Rattus norvegicus: one gene and its partners. The protein of the gene in region 2 interacts with the protein of the main gene of each other region in a biochemical or structural test. Links are inferred from orthologs where the notes say so. Each region holds a gene or a part of one and is shown on either strand. Other genes may lie near its edges. The genes, in order: Cdk9, Mbp and Mapk14.

Evidence for each region.
Region 1: of the proteins of Mbp (region 2) and Cdk9, one has a biochemical effect on the other in vitro, tested with the Homo sapiens proteins (2 studies listed by BioGRID). The link is inferred for Rattus norvegicus from reciprocal best matches to the Homo sapiens genes MBP and CDK9.
Region 3: of the proteins of Mbp (region 2) and Mapk14, one has a biochemical effect on the other in vitro, tested with the Homo sapiens proteins (4 studies listed by BioGRID). The link is inferred for Rattus norvegicus from reciprocal best matches to the Homo sapiens genes MBP and MAPK14.

What each region holds. Positions count from the first base shown.
Region 1 is NC_086021.1:36,392,713-36,403,190, forward strand, and holds Cdk9 (cyclin-dependent kinase 9), read right to left. Parts: upstream 6,305-10,478; 5' UTR 6,261-6,304; coding exon 6,169-6,260; intron 5,721-6,168; coding exon 5,639-5,720; intron 4,325-5,638; coding exon 4,234-4,324; intron 3,856-4,233; coding exon 3,689-3,855; intron 3,578-3,688; coding exon 3,406-3,577; intron 3,249-3,405; coding exon 3,100-3,248; intron 2,334-3,099; coding exon 1,968-2,333; 3' UTR 1,456-1,967; downstream 1-1,455. UniProt on the Homo sapiens protein: Protein kinase involved in the regulation of transcription.
Region 2 is NC_086036.1:78,205,934-78,216,411, forward strand, and holds the start of Mbp (myelin basic protein), read left to right. Parts: upstream 1-4,388; coding exon 4,389-4,565; coding exon of another isoform or gene 4,566-4,583; exon of another isoform or gene 4,584-5,225; intron 5,226-8,479; exon of another isoform or gene 8,480-10,478. UniProt on the Homo sapiens protein: The classic group of MBP isoforms (isoform 4-isoform 14) are with PLP the most abundant protein components of the myelin membrane in the CNS. They have a role in both its formation and stabilization.
Region 3 is NC_086038.1:6,745,429-6,755,906, forward strand, and holds the start of Mapk14 (mitogen-activated protein kinase 14), read left to right. Parts: upstream 1-5,930; 5' UTR 5,931-6,250; coding exon 6,251-6,366; intron 6,367-10,478. Other genes in the region: Slc26a8 (testis anion transporter 1), read right to left, coding at 4,008-4,166. UniProt on the Homo sapiens protein: Serine/threonine kinase which acts as an essential component of the MAP kinase signal transduction pathway.

The DNA of each region.
Region 1 (10,478 bases), on a different chromosome or scaffold from region 2:
TGGCTCAGTGGTAGAGCACTTGCATGTCCTGGGTCCAATCTCTAGCAAAGGGATGAATCCCTTGAATACTTGAGGGAAGAGATTCTGAAACAGAACAGTTCTATTAGTTTGTCTTCCTGTCACTGGGCATTTGAGAACCCCCTGGTAGCCACAAAGACTGTCCTAACTTCTAGTTATAGCAGGTTGAATGATGTCCTCTCCAATCACGTTCTAGGAATGCGACCAGAGTGGGCAGGGCCATGGGCGGGAAGGTTTCTGCAGACTGATTAAGAGGGGGTTATGGGGGGGGCTATGAACCCAACAATGGATGTCCTCATAGACAAAGAAACAAAAACGATAAGGAATGCTTTTCAGAATCAAGATTGCCATGCAAATGGTGGTACACACCTGTAATCCTATCTCCCTAAAGGAGGAAGCAGGGAGATCTGCAGTTCTGGACATCCGAGCTAATGACCACTTGTCTGGAAGGGCTGAGAGATGGCTGAGTGGTTAAAAGCCCCAGCTGCGGGGTTGGGGATTTAGCTCAGCGGTAGAGCGCTTGCCTAAGAAGCGCAAGGCCCTGGGTTCGGTCCCCAGCTCCGAAGGAAAAAAAAAAAAAAAAAAGCCCCAGCTGCAATTCCAAAGGACCCCGCTCAGTTCCCAGCATGTGTGGCAGCTCCAGGGGCATCACTCCTCTCTAGCTTCCCTGGGTACCAGGGATACACAGTGTACAGACATGCAAGGAAAAAAAGAATACAAAATCTTCAGGCCAAGCTGTGTCAGCTACCAGAGCTGGAGAGACCTGAAGATCGACTGTCCCAGAGAACTCCAGAGGAAGCAACTCTGCCAATCCGCCATGAATTCTGGACGCTCAGCTCCCGGAGCTAATGGACTAACACTGCCCTTCTCAGACAGCTTTGTGATGTTACTGAACCTCACTAAACTCTTGGGTAATCTGTCACCTAGGTTAGTCCTCTAAGGGTCCCTACCATGTCCTTATCCCATCTCCACACTGGCCTTCCTTCTTGCCCTCACTGTCACCCTAACCCATGCTATAACCCACCCCCCCACCCCCACCTTGACCCTGCCTGCTCTGGTCACTTCTGTCCTGCTTCCCCCAAGCCTTGGAGCTACAAGCTACACTAGTCACTCCTGTCACTGCAGTGATTTGGAGGTCTGCAGTTCCCTGCTTCAGTCCAGTCTGAGGATTTATGAACCTAAGCAGCCCAGGCCCAGCAGCTCACTGAGGCTGCAGCTTACAACAGACACTTCCCAACACTGGGCCCTGTGGACCTGCCTTCTGGGGGTGAGGAGTGCAGTGGAAGGTACCAGGAGGAATGGAGGGCAAACCCCAACATCTACAGAGTATTAGGTGGTAAGGAAGCAGGACCAGCAGTATCCTGGCTGACCACACCCTAGCCTCTAGCTGTAGGACAAGAACCGAGGGAGGGTCTGAACACAAGAAACACAGGCATGTACTGGAAAAAAAAATCAACTTTTAATTTAACCAATCAAACTGCATCCAGGAATGTCTAAACTGAACAAAACAAAATAAAATTCTCCTTTTAAAGGAACCAAGAGCTTACACCAGCCCCACACTCCTAAGGTCTATACCAAAAGTAGCCCATTTTGGAGATGCCTCTGTCCTTCACATCCTCATCCAGAGGAAGGGCTGGGGATGGTGAGGAACCTGTACCTTCCTCCCATCACACAGGAGTTCTTAAAAGTCACAGTGGGTGAGCTTCTCCCACCCCACTTCGTATCCATGCTGAGACCTCCAGAGAGAGGCAGGCAGGACAGCCCCAGGACCCTCAGGGCTTGCAGCCAATGCTCTGCCCCAGTCCACTCAGGCAGCTGTTCCCAGCGCCAGGGTGGAGTTGATATGTACTGGAGGAGAAAATCTCAAACGTCCCATCATGTCACATGTTCATGCAAGTCAGAGCAGAAGCAATCCACCCCTAACCTAAGAACACCGGCCAGCGACAGCCTCAGAAGACACGTTCAAATTCCGTCTGGTTGGTAGTGGCGGGATTTCGGCTCTGGTTGGTGGACTGCTGGGTGATCTGGCTACCCTTCCGTCGTGGTGGGGCCAGGTACTCAAACATAGACGTCAAGTGAGTAGACAGCATGCCCTTGAGGTCCGAGGGCATGGGGTCCGACCAGAAGAAGTCATGGTTGAGGGCATCATCACTGTCAATCCGCTGTGCAGGGTCCAGCACCAGCAGCTTGTCAATGAGGTCCAGAGCATAGGGGTCCCGGACGTAGGCCTTCAGACGGTCCTTCACCTTCCGCTTCTGGCCCTTGACCAGTTCCAGCTTTTCGAACAGCTCATACTTGTCCACGTTTGGCCACACCTAAGAGACGTTAAGGAGAGAGTGGAGTTGGAGGGAAGAATGCTAAGACACCAGGGGATTGGATTTCTAAAAGAACTTCTCTCAGAGGCTCCCTGACTTCCTCTCCATTGCAAGGAGAATCAGAAGTCTTCAAGTTGAAAGCAGCAGTCACTGGATGTAGTATACTCCTAGCATCTGGACAGCTTACACAAGTCAGCTAGAATAAAGATGCCAGGCCCTGTTCACGCACACTCCTATCTTAAAACAAAACAAAAATCTCATGGTACTTTTGTCTCTAAAAGCTTGTGTTGAAGCTTGATCTCCTGCTGGTGACGCTATTGGGAGGTGGAAACTTGGGGGGAGAGGGGAAGGGGACAACCCAAGAGGGAAAAAGTATCCTCTGAGGCTCGCTGAATGTGTGCTGAAGCCTAGTGTTAAGTCAGTGGGCTTAACACCCCTGGAGCTGCACACTGGACCCTGCTCTTCTGCTCTTCCCTGCCATGACCACACCTACTCTCTCCAGTGGACTCTCTGCTGTGACACTTAGCAACGTCTCTGCACCAAAGCAAAGGCTAAACAACCACAGGCTGAAGTTTCTCAACAAAGGCAAATCTTGGCGCTTTTGCTTTGCTCAGGTACTCTGCCACAGAAACAGAGAGCCCACAAAACCAACAGGCTTAGGAGGGAGAAGCACCCACAAGACCCTGGACAGCAGGCCTATGGCTTCCCACCAATCAGATTCCTCTCCACTGCAGGCCCCCTAGGATCACCCAGTTTGGTCACGTACCTCTGGAGTGATGGAGCCACAGAGCTGGCTGATGAGGGCAAGCTGGTGCTGCTCTGTGTTGCCCTGCATGATGGGGCTGCGGGTCCACATCTCTGCCATGATGCACCCAGCACCCCACAGGTCAATGGGCGGGCCGTAGTCCCGCTCTCCTGAGAAGAAGAGGGTACCGGGAGTGCCTCTTAAGCCCGAGGGCCTCCTGAGACTCCAGGTCCCAAGGCTGATGGCTAAAGAGGCCCCCGGCAACGGGGGCTGTGGCCAGGTAAGTACCCGGCCCCTGCCCCCCTCTGCCCGCTCGGGAGTCCTCACCGAGCAGGAGCTCCGGAGGTCGGTACCACAATGTCACCACACGGTTGGTGTATCGGTTGGGCTGGCTATTCTTAGCTAGGCTGAAGGCGCGAGCCAGCCCAAAATCTGCCAGCTTTAGGACCCCATCTCGGGTAATGAGCACGTTGGCAGCCTTCATGTCCCTGTGCAGGATCTGCAGGGAGGACGCATGAGAGCTCGGTCAGGTCTCATAGTATCCCAGAGACCCACCCACAAGGCAGTGAAGAGCAAAGAAGCCCCAGTCTGTCCCGGCCCCAGGCCTCACCTTGTTCCTGTGGATGTAGTAGAGGCCATTCAGCAGCATCTGCATTACTCTCTTGATCTCAGACAACGTGAACTTCACTAAGACATTGCTCAGCAGCCCAGCGAGGTCATGCTCACAGAAGTCGAACACCAGATAGATGCTGCCTTTGCAGCGGTTATAGGGTGAAGCTGGTGCAGAATAGGGAGAGAGGGTGGGAGGGAAAATAAAAAACCTGCACCCACCTCATTTTCCACAGCCAACTCCCAGCCCTCCAATCCACAAACACCCAACTCCATCGGAGAAAGCCCGGAGAAGCTGGTGGTCAGTCACTGGTGGTGCATGCCTTTAGCCCTAGCACTAGGGAGGCAGAGGCAGTGTGAGGCTAGCCTGGTCTATGGAGCAAGGTCAAGGACAGCCAGGGCTACACAGGGCAACCCTGTCTCAAAACAAAACAGATCGGGAAGCTGTGTGATCAAGTCAAGTCAGGAGGAGGCATTAAGCACATTTACCTCAGGAGTGCAAGCAAAGGTTTAAGGTTCATTTTATCCCGAGAACGAGCATCGTACCTTTGGTTCGACAAATCTCAATCAGGTTGACCACATTCTCGTGCTTTAGGAGCTGTAGAATCTTGATTTCCCGCAAGGCTGTGATGGGGAACTAGGGAGGAGAAAGAGAGGAAGTGGTCAAAATTGAGAGCAACAGACCCATGAAGTAAAAGTGTGTGTGTGTGTGTGTGTGTGTGTGTGTGTGTGTGTGTGTGTGATCTATACTGAGGGACAGAGGTTGAAAGGCAGGTAAGAGTATAGTTTTTGTGTGACAGACGGTTCCTGTCTGGAATCCAATCCTACTATCAGGAGTCAAATAGAGAGTAGAACTGTCCCAAGTTCAAGGCCAGTCTGGTTAGTTGAGCTCTTGCTTGAGGGGAAAATAAATATATTTATCTGCAACCAGTCTCTGTAAAGCAGAAGGTAAGTGAAAGGACACACACATCTCACTCAAGGAGCTGCTAGATTTTGCCATCTAGACAATGGCGGCTTTGGACTTGTGAACCATCCTTTTTCTTTGGCCTCGTAAATGCTGGAACTACAATCATAGCCCTCTACGCTGGGCCAGGAATTTATTTTAGACAACTCAAATAGGGACAAAATCTTTGGCACTAATGCTTGTGGGTTAAAATCAAGAAATTCCCTGGGTCCAGAGATAGATGAATAGTTAAGCAAACCAGTCCTGGCTAAGAGTGGCAGCCCAAGCCTTTATTCCCAGCACTCCGGGCACAGGCAGTTGACCCTCTGCGAGTCTGAGAACAGCTGGGATACTGAGAGATTTTTGTATTAAACAAGTCTTATGTTGAGTCCCTATTTCAGGGAGACATACACATATGCATGCACACACACATACAACACTGGCTGTTCTTCCGGAGGACCTAGGTTCAATCCCAGCCTCTACATGGTGGATCTTTTTAATTCTAGTCCCAAGTGATCCAAGGCAGCCTAGCATGGTCTCCTCAGGTGCCCAGGTACCAGACAGGCATGCTGTACACAGCCACACCAGAAAACAAGACACGCATAGACAGGAAATAGTCAAACAGCTTTTTCCTTACAAAGAAAACGCTGTACTAAAGCTAAGACGGGGACATCATGCTTCAAAACACGCCTTAAGCTAAGCTGCCTTTTAAATTGCCTGTGCACAAATTGTCCCTTCGTACAAAACAAAATTCGACGCTAAGCTGGAAGTTTTCAAAAACCCCACTTCTAGAGGCAACGTGCACTTTCACGCAAAGCACAGGCTCCCTCACTTGCCTCCCACCGAACTTTGCCACAAAAACTCAAAAGTCTAAGTGGAAAGCCAAATGTCTTGTCACACGGAAAATCGAAAAATACTTGGGTGGAATCTCAGCACAAAACCCTTTTAAGTAGCAGTGTGGAAACCGAGCACAGGTTAGAAGAACTGCCCAGTGGTCCATATACTCACCCCCTCCTTCTCATTCTCCATCAACACTTTCTTCAGAGCCACCTTCTGGCCGGTCTGACGGTGCTTGGCTTTAAATACTTCCCTGCAACACAAAGACCCGAGGGACCCATCAGGCATTTCCGCAGGGACCGCCCCTCCCCCACGCGAAGAGGAGCAGCGGGAGACCAGACACACGGTGGGGTGCGGCCCGGGACTCCTGTAAGCTGTTATTCCACACCACGTGTTTTCTGTCCTTCTCCCAGCCCCTGCTCTTACTCCTACTCGGCTCCCACTCCTCCCCCCAGAGGTGTCCGCTCACAAACTGAGTTCCTCTCAGCAACCCTACCCAACCCCCATCACGGGCCTCAGGCTCCTCCCTGCCAGTCCGCTCGGTTAGGCCGGGAGCGTCTGCGGCGCGGCCTAGCAAGACCAGGCAACAATCAAGGAAATAGAAGCTTCCGTACCACCTCGGGCCCCGGCCCTGAACGACCCGATATAGGCCATGGAAAGTGCAGGTCCTGGGCTACCGGTCCCACGCGGCCTAATCTTACCCGAATGTGCCTTGGCCGATCTTGGCAAGTTTCTCGTACTTGGTGACCTCATCGCAAAACGGGCATTCCACTGAGTCGTACTGCTTGGCCATGGCCGCCTCCAGCGCGCCGCCGCCGCCGCCGCCGCCGCCGCCGCCCCCAGCCGCAGCTCCCGCCGCTCCCGGTCCCGCCACACTCCAGGCCCCTCCGCGGCCGCGCCACTTCCGCCTCCAAGGCCACTTCCGGCCTCGAGGTGCCGAGCCCGCCTCTTCCGGTCTCCGCCCGCCGCCAGGCCCCCTGGGACTTGTAGTTCCCGGGAGGCCAGGGGGAGCCGGAGCTGCAGAGGAGCCTCCGCCGCCGCCACTGCCCCCGCCTGCGCCGCCGCCGCTAGTGCTGTTGGCGGCCCCGATCGGGGGCGCAGGGAGCCGTGGCGCTGGGGCTGGGGCTCGTGGCGGTGCGTCCCGCTGCATTGGCCCGGGCCGTGCTGCTGCCGAAGCTGCTGCCGCTCTGGCTCCCGATCCGGGGCCAGCCGCAGTGCCCTGCTCCTCCTCCTCCGACGGCGCCGCCTCCGCCGGGCTGCGCGGGGCGACGGGTGGGGGTGTGGGGAAGGCCTGGGGGCGGGGGCTCCCTGGCCAAACCCGGCCCGGGGCGGCCAGGAAAGGGGGCGAGATAGCAAGAGCAGACGAGGAGGCGGCCCGAGAGCCCGGGAGGGGGCGCGTTATAAAGGGGGAGGTCCCCGTCCTGGCCTCCCCTCCCCCTCCCGCCCCCTCCCTCCTCCTCCCACCCTCCGCGGCCGCACCTGCCGCCGCCGCCTCCCGCCCTCCCGCTCCCAGTCCAGCGTCCGCCCTCGGCGCGTCACTGCTAGCAGCCCCTCCTCTGCGTTTGGAGGTGGGGCTCCGCACTAGACACCTGCCTGCGGCGCCCTGCTGCGTGCCTCAGTTTACCCCCCTAATGCCAGCTGCCACAGAAGGGCCCTTCTTCCAGGGCTGGGAGTGTGCTCCCAGTGAGGCGAAGGCAGGAGGTGCCGAGGGAGCGGCCTGAGGCCCGGGGAAGAGAGAACTGCCCCCGCTGCCGCCTCCGCCGTCTCAGCCACCCGCCGTTGACATGGCAACTGACGGCCGCCAGGGGGCGCGGCGACGCTCAGGCCTAAACCCTGGATCCTGTGTGGTCAGGAAGGCAAGGATGGATCTACTGCCTTCCTTCACAGAGCTGCGGCTAAGCTGGTCTGTCCTGCGTCAATCATCCCAAAAATGGTTAAAATTGAACAGGCACTCCTGCGCGTTTTTGAAATGCTGGGCATGAGCTGGGTAGTGATGGCGCACCTCTTTAATCCCAGCACTTAGCAGAGGCAGGTGGATCTCTGAGTTCGAGGCTAGCCTGATCTCCAGAGTGAGTTCTAGGACAACCAGGAAATAATAACAGAGAGAGAGAGAGAGAGAGAGAGATATCTGCTGGACATTCTGAAACAAACATGTGAACTGGGTTTTACAGAAAAAAAATATGAACCCATTTTACAGAAGAAATCTCAGATCAGAAATCAGAGGTTGTCTGCTCCTGGTCACACTATGATAAGGCTGGCTCTAGAGTTTGTCATGCCTCATTGTTAGTGTGTTTGAGGTCTGCTGACCTTACACAGGCTGGATAACACTGTTACCCTAAGACCCTTCCAGGCCTATCCTTTCCCACAATCACCTTCCCATCCCCAGGAGACAAGTCCACACAGCTGTCTTCTTACCTTCTCAGTCCCCTCCTTTTTGTCAGCACCCCTCTCAAGGATGGACACCTTGATGGAGTCCTGCTTCCCCTAGCCTCGTTTCACTGGTTCCATTCCAACCTGCTCCAGATCATTCTGCAGTCTGTTATGTCTCCCTGAACCGATTTGAAATTCTGAGTGAGGCGTGTCTGATTTTCCAGTGTTTCCCTTCTGTGCTGTGGTCCTGCAAACTGCCTTCTGTTTCAGTGTCCTGATCCCTCTTTTTTTTTTTTTTTTTAAGATTTATTCATTTATTATATTTAAGTACACAGATACACCAGAAGAGGGCATCAGATCCCATTACAGATGGTTGTGAGCCACCATGTGGTTGCTGGGATTTGAACTCAGGACCTCTGGAAGAGCAGTCAGTGCTCTTAACCACTGAGCCATCTCTCCAGCCCCCTGATCCCTCCTGTCTTCAGAGCTGCCACCCCACTCTCGGGGGTCAGTTGCAGGCTTCCGGTTTGTTTTCACCTCTTGTTTGATTGAGACAGGTCCTGACTGGTCTGGTGCTCACTGAGTAGTCTAGGCTGACCCTTGAACTCCAGACATCCCTCTTGCCTCAGCTCTAGGCGTCACTGTGTCTGGGAGTGCTTTCTGGTTTTATGCCACACTGTCTGGGCTTGAAGGTTCTTGGAAGGAGGAATGGTTTTGATGAGCCTGGTGTCCCCGAGTACCTGCTGTGAGAAGGGTCCTGCCAGGAGGATTTCTCAAGACCCTTCATAGAGCCAGCCAGGGCTTTAGGAAATCAAGCCAAGGAAGTGACCCAGAGCCTACCTTCATGGATACACTGCTTATCTGAAGAAGTAAGGGGGTGGGGGAGAGCCAGGAGTAAGAAGGAGAGAGTAATTACACTAATTACAATGATAGAAAGTGGCTAGCCCTGCACTCAGCCTGTACAGGAGGTATTTCTGTTGTCAGTCAGATGCAGGGGACACCACTCTGACCTCCACTGCACATGAGGACCCTGACACTCAGAGGTGAGATGAGTGGGCCATGGTTACCCAGACAGCCAGTGGCCACGCTAGCTTTGAACCAGGTCAGTTCCTCATGTCAAGGCCCCTCCCAGTCTGGGCTCAGCATGAAACCATGGTGAAACTTGGGAGTGCTCTCACCTGCCTTGGGCTCCTGGGGAATGTGGCAGGTAACAGCAGCACTGATGACTTGTGTGGATGCTACAATCAGATTTTTAGGCTGTAGCTGGTGTCTGTTTCTCATGAGCCCTCCCTAAGTCACATCCTGTGGGCAGAGAGGCTTTCGCAGGGTTTCCTGTGATGTTGTCACCTCTGCCACCAACAAGAGCCCTGACATCTTCCAGTCACTTCCTTAGAGTCCTGGGCCCTCAGCCCCTCCACAGGGAAGCAATGGCAATCTGGAGGCTTTGGAAGGCTGCCCAGTTCTGGAGTCCCGGTTCTCCACCACTGGAAAATCCAGGAGGGAACCAGGGAGAAATTAGTCGTTTCAAATTCACTTTGGCTACTGCTTTGTGGGTTGCAAATAATGCCTGCTTCCTGTGGACTGCCTAAACCACCAAGACCTAGCGTGTGACCCGGCCTCTGTCAACACCTGCTGACTGGCCGCCTCATGACACCCCTCAGGAGTCTCTTGTATGGCCATTTAAGAGCTAAGGAAGCCAGGCCCAGTGGCAGAAAACTGGAAAGCCAGCTACTAAAGAAACGGAAGCAGGAAAGTTCAAAGTTCAGGGCTTGTCTGGGCTAAAGAGTAAGTTCACGACCAGTTAGAGCCTCGGTGAGACCTTGTCTAAAGAATGAAAAAAATAAAGCCAGGTATGGCACACATGTTTAATCCCGGCACTCAGGAGGCCGAGACAGGGGAATTTCTGTAGGTTTGAGATAGGCTGTTCACATAACAAGAACCTGTCTCAGAAAAATAAAATAGAAAGCCTCAGAGTGCTTTTCTAGGCTAACTTTGAACTCACAAAGTTCTACTTGCCACTACTCCCAGAATGCTGGAATTAAAGGTTTGTGCCACCGGCGGAACTCCAGCTTTTGACCTTACCTAGTATAGTGGTTTGAATAAGAACACCTTCCATAGCTGGGTGGTGGTGGTGCACACTTTTCATCCCAGCACTTGAGAGGCAGAGGCTGATGGATCTCTGTAACTTTAATTTTTTTCAAATCTTTTTTTTAAAAGATTTATTTATTATATATAAGTACACTGTAGCTGTCTTCAGACACACCAGAAGGGGGTATCAGATCCCATTACAGATGGTTGTGAGCCACCATGTGGTTGCTGGGAATTGAACTCAGGACCTCTGGAAGAGCAGTCCGGTGCTCTTAACCGCTGAGCCATCTCTCCAGCCCTCAAATCTTATTTTTAATGATGGCTCTAAATGCTTTAACTGTCCTTTTAGCCCATCACCTACCAGAGGTAATGGAAAAGAAAGGAAGGTAGGGCGGGAAAGTGGACCTGTTTAGAAAGGTTCTTTGGAGCAACTCATTTTTGTGTTGTGTGGAAATCTGCAGTTCAGTTCACGGGTCAGCAGCAGCAGATAGATCTACTCGCAAACACCTCATGGATGCACCAGCAATCCAGTTTGGTAGAGGTGGAATAGCAA
Region 2 (10,478 bases):
ATCAGCTCTCCTGACAGCCATCAATGTCACTTGTGGGTCAGTTTAAAGACCTACACAGTTTTGATGAGTTTGGAAGCCTCTGGAGTGTGGGTGTTTGATTTATGCAAACTTCTGTTAACATACACTATCAAGGGCATGACCTGCCTTGGGCTTCACATCAGCTGTTCCAGAGCCAGTGACCTGTTATCCATGTGGCCACCGTATCTGATCAGAGGAGCCCATGTGAACTCCTCAACTGTGCAGTACCAGGTCATTTCAGCTGGAAACCTTAGGACAGTAACACGCTGAGAAAAAAAGGCAGCCAACTGGAGTTGGAAGTCATCTGGGGTTTCCAAGCAGGAAACGTTTTATGTATGTTCCATTTTTTTTTCTCCATCACATTGGAAGCAGGAAGCCAGCACAGTGTCACCCTGGCCCTGTCAGCAGCTCTGGTAGTGTATGGCAGTTCCTTCTGTGTGAGAACTTGACACAAAGCGCAGATGGAGAAGCAGGAGGCCTGTGCTGCACATCTAACTGTGTCCTATCTTCCTCCGTGAGTGCACACACTCGAGTTTGATGCTCACCAAGTCTATACTCGACTGGTATGAATCACGTGTCAGCTATACTAGCCCCAAAGAGCAACTGCTGAGAGCAAACAGGAGAGCCCTGCCAGGAGAGCCCGGCTACAGACTTGTCCTGGTTACCACCAAGATTTTAAGGATCGTGAATGACAGAGAGTCATTCTCAGGAAGTGTACCTCTTCCAGAACTATTTAAAAACCCAGTGTGCCCCCAGATCACTTTCTGCAGTGGTTGGTTATCTTGTTGCCCAGACAAAATACCCAACCCAGGGAACTTAAGGAGGAGAGGGTTTATTCTGGGCCACACTTGGAAGGTACAGTCACCGTGAGAAAAGAGTGGCTGTAAGAACGAGTCTGCGCGTCACAGCGCACACGCAGTCAGAAGCGGAGAGACAGACAGACAGACAGACAGACAGACAGACAGACAGAGAAAGACAAAGAGAGAGGGGGACACTGCTTGGCTTGCTTTCTCCAGTGTATTCATTCGAGGTTCCTAGCTGATGGAGCTTTATCACTGCATCTTCCCTCTGCAATTAACCTAATCTAGAAACTACACACATGTCCATAGGCCCATCTCCTGGGTGATTCTACTCGTCTCCTAGGTGATTCTAGTCATCTCCTGGGTGATTCTAATTGTCTCCTAGGTGATTCTAGTCATCTCCTAGGTGATTCTACTCGTCTCCTAGGTGATTCTAGTCATCTCCTGGGTGATTCTAATTGTCTCCTAGGTGATTCTAGTCATCTCCTAGGTGATTCTAGTCATCTCCTAGGTGATCTAATTGTCTCCTAGGTGATTCTAGTTGTGTTTCTATTCGTCTCCTAGGTGACTGTAGTCGTCTCCTGGGTGATTCTGCACATTGATAATGAACTTCAGCCAGTCACATCTCAACTCAAACAAAGACCCTCACAGGGACCATTCAGAGTAAAGCCTTATTAATCTTTATCTCATTAGTATGTTCATATTATCTAGCTTACAGAAGTTGTGCATCAAGGCTGTGGGTCCTTCACCAGGCCCGAGGCCATCTATCTCTGGAGCTCTGCTGGCCAGCTGGGCCCTGTGAGGTGGATGGAGAGATGGGTGTCAGGCTTGTGTGCAGCATTCCCTTCTTGAGAGGTAGCATGCACACAGTCTGACTGGAACGAACACCTTCTTTTGGGGAATCTGGAACCTTCGACCTCGACAGGCAGGAAGTCTGAGGGACAAGCCCCATCCCCAATACCCCAAGGACAAAACACCAAACAGTGACTTGGCAAGTGGCATTGCACGTGTGTGGCTGTGAACTTGCTATCAGATGGATTATAGCTCCCCCACCAACTGTGGTCACATCTGCTTCTTGTTGGGCTGGGCTCCATCCTCACCATGACAAACTGGGGCTATCAGTGGAGTTCTCCACGTCCTGTGGGCAGTTCTGATGATTCGTGGGGTGCTCACGATGCCCTGATAGTTACCAGAAAACACCTTAAAGGAAAGTGTCTACCACAGCCACCTTGTTTCACCCCTCTTGGCCTCTTCCTTCGCTCTGCCTCCCCAGAGTATAAACCTGGAGAGTCTGGGAGACTGCCTGCCCCCTCATCCTGGCCCAGGCACCATGTCATGTAAGAGTCTCTATGGTCTGAACTCTTGAGTTACCCAATTCTCTCTGCTCATCCGTGCTTAGGGTCTTCCCTGGATCAGCCCTCCTGCAGCTTGGATTTACTACCTCTGCCCTTTCCAAAATCAACTTTCAGCAGACAGTGACCCCATTCTGCCTTCAATCCCCCTGCCTCCTGAATTCCATCTCCCAGGACAGAGTAGCTCAGAACCTGCAGCTCCTTCCTGCTTAGGCCTCCAGGGTGTATCTGCCCTGTCACTCCAGCCTCTTTCCTCGGGCTCTAGACTGTCCATCAGCACGGGTGACCTCCCAGGGCCTTCTTGTTGGCATCTCACCTGCTGTCTGTGTTCAGTCCCCAGGGGAGAGAGCACACACATGCTACCTGACACATTACTGCACTGTGACATCCAGTGACTCAGCTGTGGAAGTCAGGAATCCAGAACTGAACTGTCTGAGAGCCGCAGGGTTCGTGAGTCCAGTCTATGGCTCCTACCTGCAGGTGGTGCCAGCATTCCTTGCTGCCCTGTGGCTGTGGTTGTGTCTCTGACTCTCCTCTGCCTTCCACATTCCTTCTCTAATATCAAGTCTCTGTGTCTCAGTTTCCCTCTCTCACAAGAACCCCAGCTGCAGGATTGCACCCACCATACTACCCATGAGCCCGCCATCTTCACCGGATCACTTCTGCAAAGACTCTATTTCCAGTCAAAGTCACAGTCACAGGCAGAGAGAGGGCTGGGATGTGAAAACATCAATTGGGGGAGGGGCGCTCAATTCTTAGCATACATTTTCTTCATCTGATCCCCCCCCCCCAGTAGAATGTAAGTTTCGTGAGAAAAGGGACCAGGTCTTGTTCATCACTATGGCTCTAACATTTAGAGAAATGCGTTCCTCCTATTCAACAAGTAACCGACAGTGGGTAGATAGAGGACCAGCACTGCATAGTCCCATGCATGGGTGCATAGTCCCATGCATGGGTTCATGTGTGCATGGATTGTTGGGCAGAATAGATAAAGAAGTGGATAGATGAATAATGTCAGGTAAATACTGCTGGGTGGACAGATGGATGGGTAAGTGGGTAGATGGATGGACAGACAGACAGATGGTAGGTGGATGGATGAATAGAATAGACAGAATAAGGATGCATGGATAAGGTGAACAGATGATGGGTAGACTGGAAGGATGGTCAGTAGGGAGAGGGTTAAATAAACGGACAAAATATTATAGGAAAGTGTGAGCTAACCAAATTTCTACAGGTCAGTAATAGAGTTGGGAGAGGAGGTTAAATTACATTCGTTTAAACCTCACACTAAGTTGAGAGGGAATGGACTTGCGGCCGTCGGTGAGAACATTGCATTTTCCATGTGCTCGGTAGTGAAGTGCCCAGGTCCCACGTGAAGCAATCTGGTTACCATGACTTGCAAGGGAGCCAGATCCAAATGCCCTGAATAAGCAGTTCCCGGAGCCAGAGCCTCCAGCGGAATCCGGGAGAGAGGAATGCTCAGTGCCCTGCTTCCCTGGACTGTAAGTTGCAGAAAGATGTGGGAAGTTCTGTTCTCCACTGAGAACACTAAAAGCACCTTTTGTCAAACAACGGCTTCACATCTGGGGCTTGTGCACCAGTGGTCTTTTAGACAGTGAGCAGCCCACAAGATACCTAACCTGCGGGGCTCTCTGGTACAGTGAGCAACTCAGGAAATGTTTTTGCTTCATTGCTGCGGGCTCTCAGGTCATCGCTCTCTGGAGTGGTTCTTTTGATAAGGATCTGAAGACAGCCCCTGAGCCACGTATACCAAGCAAGCTCAATACGGGTTAGCTCCCTTTGGTTGAGGCTATTCAAAGTGCTACGAGGCTCCTTGGGCCCTGCGCATATCTGTGCGTTTTATAGGAGACAGCTAGTTCAAGACCCCAGGAAGAAAGCGGCTTTGTCCCTCTCGAGGCCTCGCACAGGCCCACATTCATATCTCATTGTTGTTGCAGGGGAGGCAGATGCGATCCAGAACAATGGGACCTCGGCCGAGGACACAGCGGTGACAGACTCCAAGCACACAGCAGACCCAAAGAATAACTGGCAGGGTGCCCACCCAGCTGACCCAGGGAACCGCCCCCACTTGATCCGCCTCTTTTCCCGAGATGCCCCGGGAAGGGAGGACAACACCTTCAAAGACAGGCCCTCAGAGTCCGACGAGCTTCAGACCATCCAAGAAGATCCCACAGCAGCTTCCGAAGGCCTGGATGTGATGGCATCACAGAAGAGACCCTCACAGCGACACGGATCCAAGTACTTGGCCACAGCAAGTACCATGGACCATGCCCGGCATGGCTTCCTCCCAAGGCACAGAGACACGGGCATCCTTGACTCCATCGGGCGCTTCTTTAGCGGTGACAGGGGTGCGCCCAAGCGGGGCTCTGGCAAGGTGAGCTCCGAGGCGTAGAGGAACTATGGGTTTAACTGGCAGAAAGGAAGGAGAGGTGGGCAGGTGAACTGGGCCAGTCACCATGGCTGGCATGTCCCTGTGTCTGAGATACTGGCCCTGATTGGACAGTGGTGATGGCCTGGGGGAGTGGGCGAGGAGTGGGCGTGGTCGCCACTTAGCCTATGTCAACCCGTATTGCTACCTTTGTCCTTCTCACAAGGGACTGCGATTGGGTGTCACTCTGAAATGCAAGGGCCTTCTGCATCCTAAATTTTGAGGCTCCCTGGATGAGTCATTGAGACTACTGGTTCTTAAGTGTATATGCCCTATGCCTGGGGCTTCAGCCTATTCCGCCTCTGCACAGTGCTTCCCGTTTCGATCCTGATTTGTGTTCATTCTCTGCTGGGTTCAGGCTGCTAATTTCTTGCCGCTGTGAAACAATGGTCCGGTTGAGGCAAGGAGGTCTGCCGAGCAAACCCCTGCACCTCCAACAAACTTTCCCCTTTGTCTTAAGTCGTTTGGTTGGGGGGCGGGGGGGTGTTTGAATGTATGTTCAAGACAATTTGTTTGTGTGTGATTCCATTAATTTAAATATAACTTGGGTTTCATGATGTTTCGAAAGCAAATATCCTGTGAATTAAAATGTATCAGAAGATAAAACGGTGCAGGTGGTCCAGTTTCCAAGGGCAACATCTGGGGTGGACTATGCATTAGCCTGTGGGTTCAGGTTTGTGACACCAGTAACTAGTGTCAGGTGGCTGCCACCTTGAAAGTGCATGGCATCTTCTATGACTCTGTTGGATGGCCGAGCAACTCTTGGGAGAGATGTGGAACAAAGCCCTGGTTTGTGAGTAGCCTCACAGCCTGGGGATTTTTCTGTCTCTTAAGTTGTGTCTGTGTTCAAAGCCCTGGAGAACTCAAGAGGCTTTTGACTGAAGTGTGGGGCAGAGGCCTCTCCACGGCTCTAAAGCCATTGCCAGTGCAGTTTCTGAAATGCTGTCGTCTCCAGCCTCACCTTTGAGAGTGGAGATGGTTGTGAACTGCTGGATTCAATGACAGCTCTTCTGCCCTGTGGCCATCAGAGCCCCTTGGTGTCTCAGCAGCAGTCTGGCCCTCACCTGGATGTCACCGCAACTTGACTGTCACTAACACTCGGTGTGTCTAACTTGTTAACAGAATTCAAGCTGCACCAGGTCCCTTCACAGTCTGTACTTAAAGGTGTTGCCTTCAGCCTGAGACAGCAATCTTGTTTCCAATGCTAATTTACATGACAGTGGCTTTTCAAGCTGTCTTAGGGCGCTTGAGGGCTAGAGGCTCCTGACTGCCCCCCTCAGGTCTATCTGTGTAACCACACATGCACACAGCCTCACCCAGTCCATGTAGCTGGAGGAACAGGACTTAAAACTGGGTAGGAAAGACGAAATAGCTACAGGGCACAGATTCTAGAACCAGTCTTGAGGTCATGGTTCAAGTTGAAACACTGTAACGGGTTTATGTGTTGCTCCATGGCTCTCCCAGAGGGTACAGATGTGCCTCTCCATCCGCTGCTTTTCCAAGAAAAAGAAGAAATTCAAAACTCAGAAGCAGTCCAAATATTCGCCATATATAAATACATATAATTTTTTAAATTGAGATTTTTTTGAAACTTCAAGTGTCAATTTTTTGTACCATGACTGTGCTTTTTGAATATGAAGGATTATTTAAATGAATAGCCTTCATAGCAAAAAAAAAAAAAAAAGTCCCTCGGTGTTTGCATGTGTGGTCCTTATGGTCTCGTTATTATTAGCGTTTTAATTAGCATATGAAATAGGGTTATGGCATTTCCGTACAGAGTTTGTGTTGATGCTCCCCTGTGCCTCCCGCAGCTTGTTCCAAGCATAACCAAAGGTGCTTTCCTCTGGGAAGCTCCCTGCCCAGGACACAGCAAGGGTCAAGCCTTGGTGTCCAAGCCTCTTTGATTGTGGGTCCTTGGTTGTTTAGCATTGGTGAAGGAGGCTTAACTCACTCTACACCTGGCTATAAATCACAATCCCCAGAGAAGCTGCCAGGGGCAGTTACTGCCCTGGGATGTCAGGAGCATCTGTTCTATTTGTAGTTTGATGTTTGTAGAGGGGGGGGGGCAGGGCTTGCTTTCCTATACTACAGAGGTCCTTAAGAATGTTGCAAAGAATAGAGTCCAAAGGCTAGCGTCACTTGTGATGAAAGCCTGCACCCTTGATGTTATTCTAAGATAGGCATCTAACATGCATGCAGGGTGCTTGGGTAGCAGTACAAGTGCCAGCACCTGCCACTTAGAGATGCAGCTGTGTCACCTGTGTGGAAAAGGGTCCCCAAATAGAACCTGGGAGACTCTGAACCCCCTCCCTTACCCTGCAATGTAAGGTCATGTTGTCTCCTGCATCCTCCCTCCCCGGGGCACGTGGTACCTCCGTGCCATGCAGAGTCACCACCCCCAGCTCCCAGAATGCAGGGACAACACCCAGCCTTTGTGCGTTTTCCAGGCTGACATTCAAAGGCAGCACATGAAGAATGCCCTGAGAAGGCATATTCTTCTGAGACCCGTGGTGAAAAGTCCATTAACAGAGAGCATTCTCCTTTGTCCTGGGAGGAAAGGGGGGCTGTGCTGTGGGGAGGCTGTGCTCTGGCCTCTCAGGAACAGGGTTCAGGCCTTCCGAGGCTGTGAGGAGGTGGCTTTGAGGAAAAGAACAAAGACACCTGCTCTGACCCCGTCACCTTGCACCAGTGCCAGGCCCAGTCCTAGGGTAGTCCCCAGGCCTGCAAGCCATTATCTCAGAACACAAACCATAGAAAGGTTCCTCTTCCCACCAAGAGCAAGTAGCATCTCACTGGGGACCTAAGCTGATCTTGTAGTGTCACACAGGTGCCACAAGAAGGCATCTTCCATTCTCCCGGGAGGGGAGCTCTATACCTGCATTTTTTTTTCTTCTTTTTGGAGCTGAGGACCAAACCCAGGACCTTGAGCTTACTAGGCAAGCGCTCTACCACTGAGCTAAATCCCCAACCCCCATACCTGCATTTTAAATCTCTATTTATTTTACCTGAAATCTTCATTTCTAACCTGTTATAGCAGGCACCTCAATCAGTGTTCAGATGACTGCTCTGCCTCTAATTTTGACAGGATGAGATTAAGATGTTTCCCGCCACTAAGTACTGAATGTGGCAAACCCTTTAAATTAGCTAGAACGTCTTTTTTTTCCCCCGGATACTTCTCATGGCATCCTAAGCTTTATCAGATGTATCTCTTCTCTACAATACATTTAGTCTTCACTGAAGGTTGCAGATAGACTCGCCATCCATCCCGTGGAAAGGGGACATTAGAGGCCACATGAAGGACACAGCGGAAGTGCCCAAGTAATACTCCCAGGGTTCCAGTGCAGTGCCACCATCAGAGAAAGAAGTTTTGGTCATTACCTTCTGCTAACGGAGAGCTCAGGGGTCCAGGCAGAAGCAAAGAGAACGGGGACCCACATACCACTCTGCCTCTAATCCATTTGGCCAGAGTTTCCCAGAGACTCTCTGGAGAAAGTCAGCCTTGCGATGGGCACACTGACATCTGCGTCTGGGTCCTAGTTCACGCTTTTGAGACTTTTCGTATGAACCGCGTTGTAGAATACCCTTGCTTGGTCAGTTACTGGTCCCTGGTATCTAACCGTGCCTTTCTGCTGCCCCGGTTGGTCGGCACAGCCCTCCGCTGATACTTAAGTAGGAATGTGATGGGCGTTGTAAGCGTGGGAAACTATGTAAATTGTGTTTGTATTTAATGATGATCCCCTTAGGTGGTTGTACTGCAGTTTGATCATGTTGTAAACTCCCGCATAAGATAAATGTATATCTGCTTTTGTACGCTCATTAAATATTTTAACAGACCAAAGATGGTGTACTAATTGCACGTGGACTTTTTAAGTTGTATTTTTATTTCCTTAATGGCTCTGTGAGACTGGCTTTTCCATGGCTTTGAGAAACACCTACAGGTAAGTCTGGGCACTTAAGCTCTCGCCACCTCTGAAAACAGCACAGCCCCGAGTCCTCTGTCTCCACCACAGACTCGGGGTGGTCTCTCAGCATGGTGGCGCGGCATCTCACTCTTCCCCTTCCCACAGGCCCCTGTGTTTCTTGCAGTGCTCAAGGAGTGTCCAAGGAGTTGTCCTGGGTTGGTTCCTTAGTGTCCACACAGCGGAAGTGCCCAAGTAATACTCCCAGGGTTCCAGTGCAGTGCCACCATCAGAGAAAGAGGTTTTGGTCATTACCTTCTGCTAACGGGGTGTGTGGACACAAAGGAACCAACCCAGGGCACCCAGCAAACAGCTACTGAGTACCTCACTTTTCTGTTGCTGTGATGAAGTGTCCTTAGTAAAGCAACTTAAGGAAGGAAGAGTTGCTTCAGCTCACGCTTCCACCAAATAGCACACCGTGGCAGCAGGAGCCTGCGGCAGACAGAATCAGAGACTTCTTTGTATTCAGTCCAGAACACCAGCCCAGCAAACCTCTGTAGGGTGGGTCTTAACACCTCAATTAATCCTATCAAGATAGTCCCTTATAAACCCAGAGGCGTGTCTCTTTGGTGATTCTAGATTGTGTCTGGCTGGCAGTGTTAGCCATCACACGCACCATGGCCGCCCTCCTGGGCTCCCCAGGGAGGGTGTGTTCATAGGGTGACAAGGTTCCTTCCTCTGGACTGGGAGGGAGGTAGGCTCCTCTTCGGGTGATGCTGGAGGAACCTAGAAGGCCGACAAGTGAGAGATAAAAGCAAAGACCCAGTGAATTCGAATGTGGCCTGTGTGGCATCTCCTCCTGCTTTTAAACCCACTCCACTTTAAGGGATTTATTTCCTAATCATTAGGACTCCTTTCCAGGGAGGTGGGGATGGGAGAGATCAGCCAGCTGGTGACGAGAAGCTCTGACTGGTTGATGAAAAGTACAGCTTGACATCTGAAGGAACAGATCATTGTAGGGAAAATAATCCCTCTTGGAAGTCATGCTGCAAGCCACTGAGATGCCAAGACACTGGCTCAGGACTTAAGAACGACTGGACACGGCCATCGAACCATGGCTTAATATTTTATCTTGAGGTCGCTTTGTTTCTCTGTTGGGTCTTTTGCCACACTCTCTATTTTTGCTTGCTTGTTTGTTTATGAATAGAAAAGGCAGAGGGAGACTGAGGTGTCCCTAGGGCACCCCTAAATGTGGCTCAATGCCTGTGTATCTCCCTAAAGGGTGTTCTTGCCCCGCCCCTGTCACCCCTTCCAACCTGCAGGTCGGCCTTAGCCTTGGAAGCAGCTGCTTCTCAGTCAGTCGAAGCCATTTTACTTCTGTCACCTTGACATGAAGCATAGACCCTTATGAACCTGCATGGCCAGGAGAAGGCTCACCATTGTTATCGGACCCTGTGTGGGAGTGGTGACGTCAGGGTACAGATAAGCACACTTCTGTAAGTGTCGCTAGGTCATACTTTCTTACAGCCATGCTCTGTTGCTCCTTCAACCTCTGTGTAGCCCAGGTTTGCTCAGTCACTCTCCCTGGCTCAGTCAAGGGGTCCCTCTTCATGGGGACAGCCGAGTCTGCCCAGGAGGTTTACTATAACTCAGTTACTCACTCTCTCAGCTCTAGGTGCAGGAGATTTAAGTCGCCAGGACTTCTTGCTAGTATAGAAGCTGCCTCTCTTGTATGGTGAGGACTCTTGTTTGTGAGACAGCAGGTCACCTGAGCGCAGGTCACCTCTGCCCTTCCACTCCCGCCCCTGCTGTGTTGACTTTCAGTGGGACTTGTAGATGGACGAGTGAGTCACGCTATAGTCACCTTGCACGACACCCTGCCCATGGTTAAGGAGACCACTTATCTGCAACAGAGCGAGAGTCTGGAACCTTGTGGAGGAATGGTCTCTCTTGGCTGATC
Region 3 (10,478 bases), on a different chromosome or scaffold from region 2:
GACCCGTGTTCAAGCCTTAGGACCCATATGGTAAGACAGTAACTGACTCTTGCAAGTGCCCTCTGACCTTACATACATGATGACACATGGCACCACCGCTCTACCCACCAAATAAATAAATGTAACAAAAAAATATTTAGGGCTGGGTGTAGTAGCATGTTCTTATTTAATCCCAGCACTTGATAGGCAAAACCAGGAGGATTTCTGTGAAGTCCAGGCCAGCCTGGGGTACATAGCAAGTTCCAGGTTAGCCAGCCAGGACTACATAGAGTAACCCTGTCTCAAGAGTTTTGAGACAAAAGAAACATATTTTTAGAAATTTAAATCAATTAGCACTTTTCTTGATTTTTTTTAAAAGGTACTTTTATTATTTGTCTTTGTGTGCGTACATGTGGTGTGGGCATGTGTGTGCGTGTGTATGTGTGTGTGTCTGGGGGGCGTGTGTGTGTGTGTCTGTGCATGTATGTGGGTGTGGGGGGCATGTGTGTGGTGTGAGGTGTGTGCATGGTGTATGCATGTGTCTGTGTGTGTGTGTGTGTGTGTGTGTGTGTGTGTGTCTTTGTATGCTCTTATGTATAGGTGTTCTCCAAGGCCAGAAATGGGAGCTGGAGTTGGTGGCTGTGAGCTGCCCAGTGGGGTTCCTGGGAACCAATCTCAGGCCCTCTGCAAGAGCAGTATGCACTTTTATCAGCTGAGTCATCTCTCCAGCACCCTTCCTCTTTTTGAGGTAGGGTCTCTTATAGCCCAGGTTAGCCTCAAACTGACAACATAGGCAAGGATAACTGACATCATGATCTTCCAGCTTTCACGTCTCGAGCGAGCGATGGCATGCATGGCCTGCTCTCCCTGTTTCCTTTGCTGCTCAGCCTGGCAATGGTGAATGGGGAGTGCCCAGCAGTCTCCCTGACTTGGCCCTGAGACCGGAGCCATAGCTGTGCATCACTGCCTGCCGTCAGAATCTTTTGAAGGGAATGTAATTCACATACAATAACAGTATCTTTGCACAGCAGTTTTACAAGACCTTTCCTCCATGTTGTACAATTTAAAACTCAAAACTATTCTCTGTCAGAGTCAAAGGACTTGTTCTCTTTTTTTCCTAGCGGACACGGGTGTGAGGGCCTGGCCTGTAATCCCAGGACCACAGAAGCAGGAGGATCACAAGTTTGAGATCAGCCTGGGCTACACGGTCGAGATGCTGTTAGAACAATCAGGTGAGCAAGCAAACCCCACACCCAACTGAACAAGGCTCAGAAGTTCAGACAACTTCAGTGTTTACTGTGTGTGTCTGGGGCCTGTGTTTGTCTTTTAAAGGGTCTCACTAGGTAGCTCTGGCTGTCCTGGAACTTGTGTAAAGTAGGCTGTCCTTGAATACCAGAGATCCACTTGCCTCTAACCCCCACGAACCAGGGTTAAAGGCATTTGACACAGCACCTGGCCTTTTTTTTTTTTTTAATTACTATTTAAGTCAGGCCAGCCAGAACCTTACTATTGCATCAGAGGATAACATTGGCCTCCTGTTCTTCCTGCCCCCACCTTGGATAACAGGTAAGTAAGTACCACCATGTCTGATTAATAATCCAATGAGGGGACTTGAGAGCTGGCTCAGCTGTCCCTGCAAACAAGAAGACCAGGGTTTGGGTCCTGCCATTGACATGGTGGCTCACAGCCGTCTGTAGCTTCTGTCTCCCTGGATCTGACGCTCTCCTCTGACCTCTGCATGCACCAGGCATGTACACGTGCACAGACTAAGAGATAAAGCATTCTGACCACTTTCCTCCTCAGTGCTAAAGGTTCAGGGCGAAGTCATCTCCCAACTCCTCCTTGGAATGCAGCAGGGAAGACACCAGCATCTCCCCAGTGCAGAGCCTGAGGGGGGAGGGAGGGGAGGGGGGAGGGAGGGGAGGACCACCCGTGGTTAGCCCCCACCCCTCCCCAGGCTTTACACTGGGGAGGCGCAGGCATCTTCCTCTCTGACAGGTGTAAGGAGTTCCTCAGTGAGCCACAGTGAGTCAGCACGGCCACAATTCAGGCCCTATCCCCTGTAAAACAGGTTCCTGTCTTAAAATCACATGACCTAGAGAAACACCAAGGACCCCAGCCTGGGGAAAGGTCAACTCCTGGAGAAGGTGGGCTGAGACACGTGGGGGGGGGGGAAGACTAGGTATTTCAGGGACAGGATTCAACACAATTAGAGATGATATAAGAAAAATAATTAAAAACATCTGAGTGACATCAACTTTAAACTGAGAGAAGGGAGGAGGGGGAGAGAGAAAGGGGCAAAGGAGGGGGGAAAGGAGGGGGGAAAGAAGAGGGAGGTTTAAAAGTGATCCTAGAGGAGGGCTGGTGAGCCAGCTCTGCCTGCCAGCAAGCCTAACAGCCCTGGGACCCACAAGGTGAAAGGAGAGAAACCGACTTCCACAAGTAGTCCTTGGACCTGCACCGGGCAGTGTGGCCTGCATCGATGACCACACACACAAAATAAACAAACTTTAAAAACAAAAGCCTGTTCCTAAAGGGAGCCGAGTGTGGTTGCACAAGCCTGTACCCTTGGCACTTGGGACACGAGGCGGGAGGATCAGGGAGGGTTCAAGCCTCTGTTACACATCCAGCTTGAGGTAAACCCAAGCTGTATGAGATTCTCTATCAAGGCAAACAAACAAAACCACAAACCAAATAAAAATCATCTCCTGAGTAACTATTTCTGGGGCAGTCCAAAGTGTGTTAAGAAGCTGGGGAAGCCTAGTGAAGTGTTGTACACCTTGAATCCCAGCACTCCAGGGACAGAGGCAGGCGGATCTCTGAGTGCTGGGCTGACAGCCACAGTGAGAGCCTGTCTAAAACACAGAAAGAGAAGCAGCAGCGGAGAACTGGGGCCCTGACCAGAGCAGCACGAAGGGTGCCACAGTGTACACCACTCATCTTTCTTGTCTGCTGTTGATTTTGAGACAGGATCTCATGGAGCATAGCGGGCTTTGACATCGCCTTCCTCCTGCCCCCGTCTACCCAGTGCTGGGTTATAGGTGTTGAAAGAGCCGTATCTCTCGCTCCATGAGCAACCTTTATGAAACTCTAGTTCTACATACAGTGTGTGCCACCACACATGCCTTAATTCTTTTGTTTTTTTCCTTCCTGCGCTGGAAATCCATCTGAGGGCCTAACATGAAAGGCTGCTGTCTTCTGAGCTGTAGTCCCTGTCTTTATCTCCCTCTGCTAAAAATACTCGAAAATAGAAGCATGTTAACCCAGCTCTTTCACTACTGCTGCCTTCAGCCATCCACCTGTCCATCTGTCTGTCCGTCATTTATCCATTTGCAGATCATTTACAGAATCTCTAATTGGAATATTTTACATGCAAAAAAATGTAACTTGATTTATAAAATGTTGACCCAACGGGCAGGAAACCCAGAAAATTAGTTAAGGTGCAAGAATTTTTTTTTTTACCTGATTTAAGTCCTCTTTCACGTGCTTCCTAAAACCATAAAACAAAACTCACTTCCAACTAAAGCCCTCCTTAATGCTATACAGCATGATACCAAGGGGCTGTGTTGGAGAGACATTCATGACTGGCTTGAGGGAGGACCCAAACCACAGTCCCTAAGGACCAGAAGACACAGAAGGGGGCGGAGGGGGGTAGGGTTCAGCCAGAGAAAACAAAATGAGCAAAACAGTAAGGGTAAGCAAAAGGGGCTCTGAGCCTAGGACACGATAGGGTGGAAGTGTGGCAAGGCCCACAGTCCAGTCCCTTCAGCTGCTGATAACACAGGGGCGAGTTTGAAAGGATCCAGTGTGCAAAGACCATCTTGTCTCTTGCCAGTGCTGTCTCTCACGCAGCCTCTCTATAGGAGACACAAGTTCCAGGGACCACCGCCATTCATTCATTTATTCATTCACTCATTCATTCCAGGGACCACCGCCATTCACTCATTCACCCACTAGTGCTTGGGACTCTCCTAGCTCTGCAGGTGACCCAAGCAGCCATGCTACGGGAGGCGGCAGGCAGGGCTCACCTGGTTTCCGGTGACCGGCAGGAGCGCAGACGCTGGGGACAGACTCGGCTCCAGCCTGGCTGGCGGCGGTGCTGCGGACGCAGAGGCCGGCAGTTCCCGAGCCGTTGCTGCAGAACCCGCCGGCGTTCCGGCTGTGCGGGTGACGGGCGAGGACGGCATCTGGGCGAGGAGAAGGGGTCTCTGGCTGCCCTCCACAGACCTGGGCCGGGACCCTTCGGATCTTCCAGAAACAGGCACGAGAATAGGAGTTCCCGGTCCTCCTGCTCCGCGTAGGGGTGGGTGGATGTGAGTTCTTACGGGTCTAACTTTCCCCGTTCACTTTTATTATCTTTTTCTCGGCTTCTACGGAAGATTCCACTAGGTGGGAATGGAGGGCTGGGTTTCCCTCGTGGAGACTAGAACCGGGGCCTAAGGAAGCTCAACAGACTTGTCTTAATAAATGTCCGAAGCCCTCGTCGTTTCCCCAAACTTCCAAAGGCGTGGATTCTTTAAATTTCTCATGAATTATGTCTTTAAAATCCTCTCAATTTAAGTTCTTTTTTTTTTTTCTTCTTTTTTTTTTTTTTTTTAAAGATTTATTTAGCCGTCTTCAGGCACACCAGAAGAGGGCATCAGATCTCATTACAGATGGTTGTGAGCCACCATGTGGTTGTTGGGAATTGAACTCAGGACCTCTGGAAGAGCAGTCAGTGCTCTTAACCACCGAGCCATCTCTCCAGCTCCCTCAATTTAAGTTCTTAAAATTCTCCCAATTTTTCCTTTAAATTTCTAAATTTTGGATGGTTCTAAATTGGCAGGAGTCGGTCTCGAACCGGAGTCATGGGCTTTGGGGTGTTCCAGATATGGTCTCATAACAGCCCAGGCAGGTCTCTTAACTACTCACTATATAGCAGAGGCTGGTCTCCTGGTCTTTCCAAACGCTGGAATTACAGGCTACGTAAATCTAAATAAATACATCAAATATATGAGAAGGGTCTCTTGGTCTTTCCAGATGCTAGAATCACAGGCTGTATAAATCTAAATAATTCAGTAAATAAATAAAATCAAATACATGAGACGGGTCTCCTGGTCTTTCCAAACGCTGGCATTACAGGATGTGTACATCTAAATAAGTAAAATAAATGAGAAACTTTCCTGAAATGGAATGACCTACCTGCAGAGAGAGAGAGAGAGAGAGAGAGAGAGAGAGAGTGTGTTTCCCTTCCAGTCATGGGTATCGAACCCAGGGCCTTGCAAACGCAGGTCTCAGCCTCAAAGTGGCCATTCCTGACGTCCACCTCTGACCTTGTGCATCGGACTCCCTAGTGGGTCCCTGGAACCTCCTCCTACACCTTCCACGGTGGTTCTTCTGGTGAGGACATTTAGAAGCTGCTAGGAGCGTCCGGCGGGAGGGAGAGCCTGGGCTTTGAGACCGGGTTAATGTTTGCCTGGGTGGGGAGGGGGACAGGTTTCATCAGCGTCCCGAGATAAGCCACGCGTCCTTGAGCGGATGGGAACGCAACAGCTTTCTGGACAGGGCCAGTCTGCTCTTGCAAATCTTTCTTGGAAATCGCCGGCTCCGGTGAGCAGGTGGCTCGGAGCTCAAAGACCGCTTGGCTCTCTTTCCCCCCCCCGACGCCGTCCCAGTGGTTTTCCGCCACGGCGCCGGGCATTCGCCGGTCCGACCACAGAGAGGCGCGCGCGGCCTACGCTGCGGTCCGCCCCCACCCTCGGCGCCCCCCGGGAGCAGAGTCTCCCCTAGAGTTCCTGCCTCAGCTCCCGGAGCCGTGTCTCTCTTCTCGCGAGATCTTCCCGTCCCGCGCGCTCTTCTCGAGCACCCCCGCCCCACGGGCAGGTTCCATATTGGGTAAGATCTCGGCTCGCGGAGCTGTTCTCGCGAGAGTCCTGCTAGAGCCTCCCCGGCCGCTGCCTGCGGGGAGAGGGGGGAGATCGCGGCCACTGGAGCCCGAGCGGGCGCTAGAGCGCGAGCGGCTGTCGCGCAGCGTCGGCGTGCGCTCCCCAGGGAGCGGCTGCAAGGGGACCGCGGCGGGAGCTGCGTCGAACCGTGCAGCCGGCTCCCGCTCGTTGCCGAGGCTCGTAGGTGCCGCCGCGGCTGACAGGAGCCGTGGGTCGCAGCCTCCACACCTGCGCGGGCGCGGGGTCGGGTCTGCCGCGGGCGAGCGAGAGGGCGCAGAGGAGAGCGTGCGGCTGCAGGCAGGGGCCCTCGCTCGGCCACCTCGTCGCCGCGCTGCCGCCGCTGGAAGATGTCGCAGGAGAGGCCCACGTTCTACCGGCAGGAGCTGAACAAGACCGTCTGGGAGGTGCCCGAGCGATACCAGAACCTGTCCCCGGTGGGCTCGGGAGCCTACGGCTCGGTGTGGTGAGTGTCGCCGGGCTTGGGGTTGGGGGCGGGGGTGGGAGGGAACGTGGTGGAGCAAGCAGGGTGGCCCTGCATGCCTGAGCGCCAGGCCTGTCCCCACAGCTCAGCGATGCGCCCAGCGGCAGGAATTCTCCTGCGGGCGTGTCTTGGGGGTGCAGGGGGCAGTTGGAGCGGGACGTGTCCTGCACCCCTCGCCCTGCACACTCAGGTGGGTGGGGAACCGTGTGCGGGATCGGGTCAGCCGTGGGCGCGGTGTGATGGGGCTCCACCCTGTGCTCTCCATGCTCGCAAGATCGTTCCTCCCGGGGGTCCCTCTGCAGCCGTGCGGCCTCTGGACCCTGCCTCCGGGTACCGCCACTTGGCACGCAGGAGCCCTGCCCCGGGGAGCGGGCGAGCTGGGCGCAGCTCCGGCGAGGAGCAGTAGGTCAAAGCCTGACCCGGGGACTGCGGTCACCTGAACGAAACTTGCAAGAAAAAGCGCTCCCTTTCCCGGAATTTTTTTTTCTCTTTCTCAGTTTTTCCCTCCCATTTAACCATTTTTGCAAGCTTCGGTCGAAAAACCCAGAATCGGGAAACGTTCTTTTGGGATTCGCACCTGAATTAGCAGCACCCCGAAGGGCTTAAAATAATACCGACTTTATCTCGGGGACCGCGGGGTGCCAGCTTGCCGTGGTGTGTTTCCGATTCGGTTGAAAGCGTATTTCCTTTTCGGGGAGGGAGGGTGGCAGTGCCTGCAAGGACGCTCCAGCTCTCAGCTTAGTCACACAGCGCTGCTCAGTTCAGTATTGTTTGACAAAACCAGTTTTCCATACGGAGCCAGAGTGGTTCTGATCTGTTGGGCGCCCCTCAAAGATCAAAAAGGTGGGACCGAGTGCTGGAGTTGTAAATGGTTTTTAATTGGGATGCTTTTCTTTCTTTAAGCCCCTTAGAAGATTTGCAGGGGGCTTTAAGCTTGTAAGCACCGAGGCACATGGGGGTTTTTCGGGAGAACCTGGCCGCAGAAAACGATGCCTTTCAGCTTTCATTAACACTTCGGCTTTTTGTTTGAGTTCGTTTGAGACAGAGTCTCACTATGGATGGCCCTGTCTGGCCTGAGCCTCAGTGGCTAGACCAAAGCCTGGCCTGGAACTCAACAAATTTTGTCTCCTGCCAGCGCTGAGAATAAAGGCATTTGCTACCACACAAGGCCCTGGGAGCAGGTTTCAGATTAAATTTATACAGTCAAAGGTCCACTCCAGAAATGTCAGGGACTTTCAAGGATTCATATAGTCTCATTTATTGGGACTCAGTGTCAGTTTAGACCTCCCTATCTGAAAGTAAAGACCAGACTCAACAGACTAGACTCTTCTGCGTTTTAGTGATTTATATTCACGTTTCCCTGAAAGAGCCTGTGAAATGTTTTTTTTCCCCCCCTTTGGAACAAATTCTAGGCTTCTGGATGTGTTAATCTTTAAGTATGAATCCTGTGTTACTTAAAGTCACATCGTGAATTTCCTGTTTGGTAGAATCTTCCTGGTAATTGCGATTGTGCAACCATGTCCGGCAACAGATCATATTGCGTTTGCTCGTTGGAGCTGCCTAGGCTGTGCTGCTGATAGCACCAGCCCTGACCTCTTTCCCCCAAGTTTACAGACTGGCAGTTTGCATTTTAAAGGGGATGTCAATAATTTACATCCCGTGTTTGTGATTGGTTTGTTTCTCTAGTACTCACCAGCTCCCTCAGTATCTCCAGTCTTCATTGCTCACTGTTACAGCATCAGGCTTTTGTCCCCATTTGGATGCTTGGGAAGGATGGAGCAGAACTCAGGGCTTCTGGGAGAGGGAACTTGCAGGGTTTCCTAGGGCCACTGCTGCCCTGGCAGAAGAGCCAGCTTTACAGTGACTTGCCACAGTGAAACCAACACCACTTCCTCTAGTGCTGTTACTTTCTTGCAATGGGATTGAGCACAGCCTCCCAATGAGATAGACTTCTACCAAACAGTTTCTTTTTTTTTTTTTTGGTTCTTTTTTTCGGAGCTGGGGACCGAACCCAGGGCCTTGCGCTTCCTAGGTAAGCGCTCTACCACTGAGCTAAATCCCCAGCCCTTACCAAACAGTTTCTTGAACATAGGTAGTGCTGGCCTAGTGATGTAACCATGGCACAGTCCTGGCCTTACACTGCAGCAGTGCACAGCACAAAGCAGGTCGCTTGAAATAAGGGTCAAAGAGGTCTGCAGCAAAAAAAAACAAAACAAAAAAGAAAAAACCCTGCTTTCAGCCCTGCCTTCTAGTCTGTCAGTTCCTTGCCTGTCTTCCAGAGACACAGACATTTTTTTTTTAAATTTTTAACATTTATTTATTTATTATGTATACATCATACAGCTTTCTGCCTGCATGTATGCACCTGCAGGCCAGAAGAGGGCACCAGACCTGATTATAGATGGTTGTGAGCCACCATGTGGTTGCTGGGAATTGAACTCAGTACCTCTGGAAGAGCAGACAGTGCTCTCAACCACTGAGCCATCTCTCCAGCCCCCAGGGATTTTTTTTTTTAAAGATTTGTGTATGTGTTACATATGAGTACACTGTCTTCAGACAGACCAGAAGATGGTATTGGATTCCCTTACAGATGGTTGTGAGCCACCATGTGGTCACTGGGAATTGAACTCAGGACCTCTGGAAGAGCAGTCAGTGCTCTCAACCACTGAGCCATCTCTCCAGCCCACTGAGCCATCTCTCCAGCCCCAGACATTCTACCTTAGAGATTTATGTAGCCTATCCATGAGGGAAAGATAACTGAAACTGTCTGTGACTGAGCAAATGTCACCTCCAGTCAGATGTATAGGCGTTACCGCTCTCGGGTTACTTGAAATTGTTTTCAATTAGCAGCTTTTTAGATGCATCTGAAAAGCACCTTTTGGTTTGTTTGTTTGTTTGTTGGCTGTTGTTTTTGAGATGGGCTGTCCTATAATTCACATTGTAGACCAGGCTGGCCTCCAACGCAGATCAGCTGGCCTCTGTCTCCCAGAGTGCTGCAGTTAAAGGTATGCAAGACTATACCTGGCTTCTTGGATTTCTTTTTTAATCCACTTTGAGGCCTGTGTTCCCTTTCTTCTTCATCCTCTGAGATGTTGGAGAATAATGAAGTCCACTTGAATGGAGATAATAGAGGGGGATTTAGACTGAAGTCTTGAGGAGAGAGAAGGCTGTCCTACTGCCGACTGTAATAAGTTGTGAGGGACCTGAGGTCTCTTCAAGAAAGGAATCCCTGAATGGGACATGATATACAGTGATTTGTAACTTTCTTTTTTAAGATTATTGGTTTTTTTTTTTTTTTTTTTTCTTTTCTTTTTTTCGGAGCTGGGGACCGAACCCAGGGCCTTGTGGTTGCTAGGCAAGCACTCTACCGCTGAGCCAAATCCCCAACCCCGATTATTGTTATTTTTATTTGTAGTATTTAGTGAACAACGGTAAAAAGAAACAACAAGAGATAAACTGTAGTGTTACCAACTGTAAATCAGAGATGAATAAGTCAATCAGTCTGGAAATGTGAGAATTGGTATGGTTTGACAAATATCTTTCTTTTTAAAAGTGTAAAGGGAACTAAGCTAAGTTCTCCAAGTTTTAAGGAACTTTATTCACTGCCTGAAAAGGGAAACAGGCGTTAAAGACCACATTGTTGCAAAGCATTGATTGTGTGGTTTGGGGCATGGGGAAAATCTTTGTGGTGAATGTAAGGAAACTCAAACAGGAACGTGAGTGCCTCCTCTGGGGAGGCCTCTCTCCAGCCCCTGGCTGGGCCCACTTGAACCCATGCCTTGGGAGTGAGCGTTAAGAATTACTTCTAGGTCATCCATAGCCATTTAGTCATTAGTGTGTACCGCACACCACCAAGTAGTGGCTGGGTTCTTGAGATGAGTACAGAACAAGACAGCTCATCTTGTCGTTGGACGTGTAGGAGAATGGATGGGTTTAATAGCTGCCTTTTATGGGTGGCTTACTGTGTTGTAGACATGGTGACCCATAGTTTATAATCGGCATGTAAACATGTAACAAACCTGTAGCTAAACATGGTAATTTCTTCTAAGAAACTAAATCTGATTTAGCATAGGACAAGATTATTCCAGTAAATA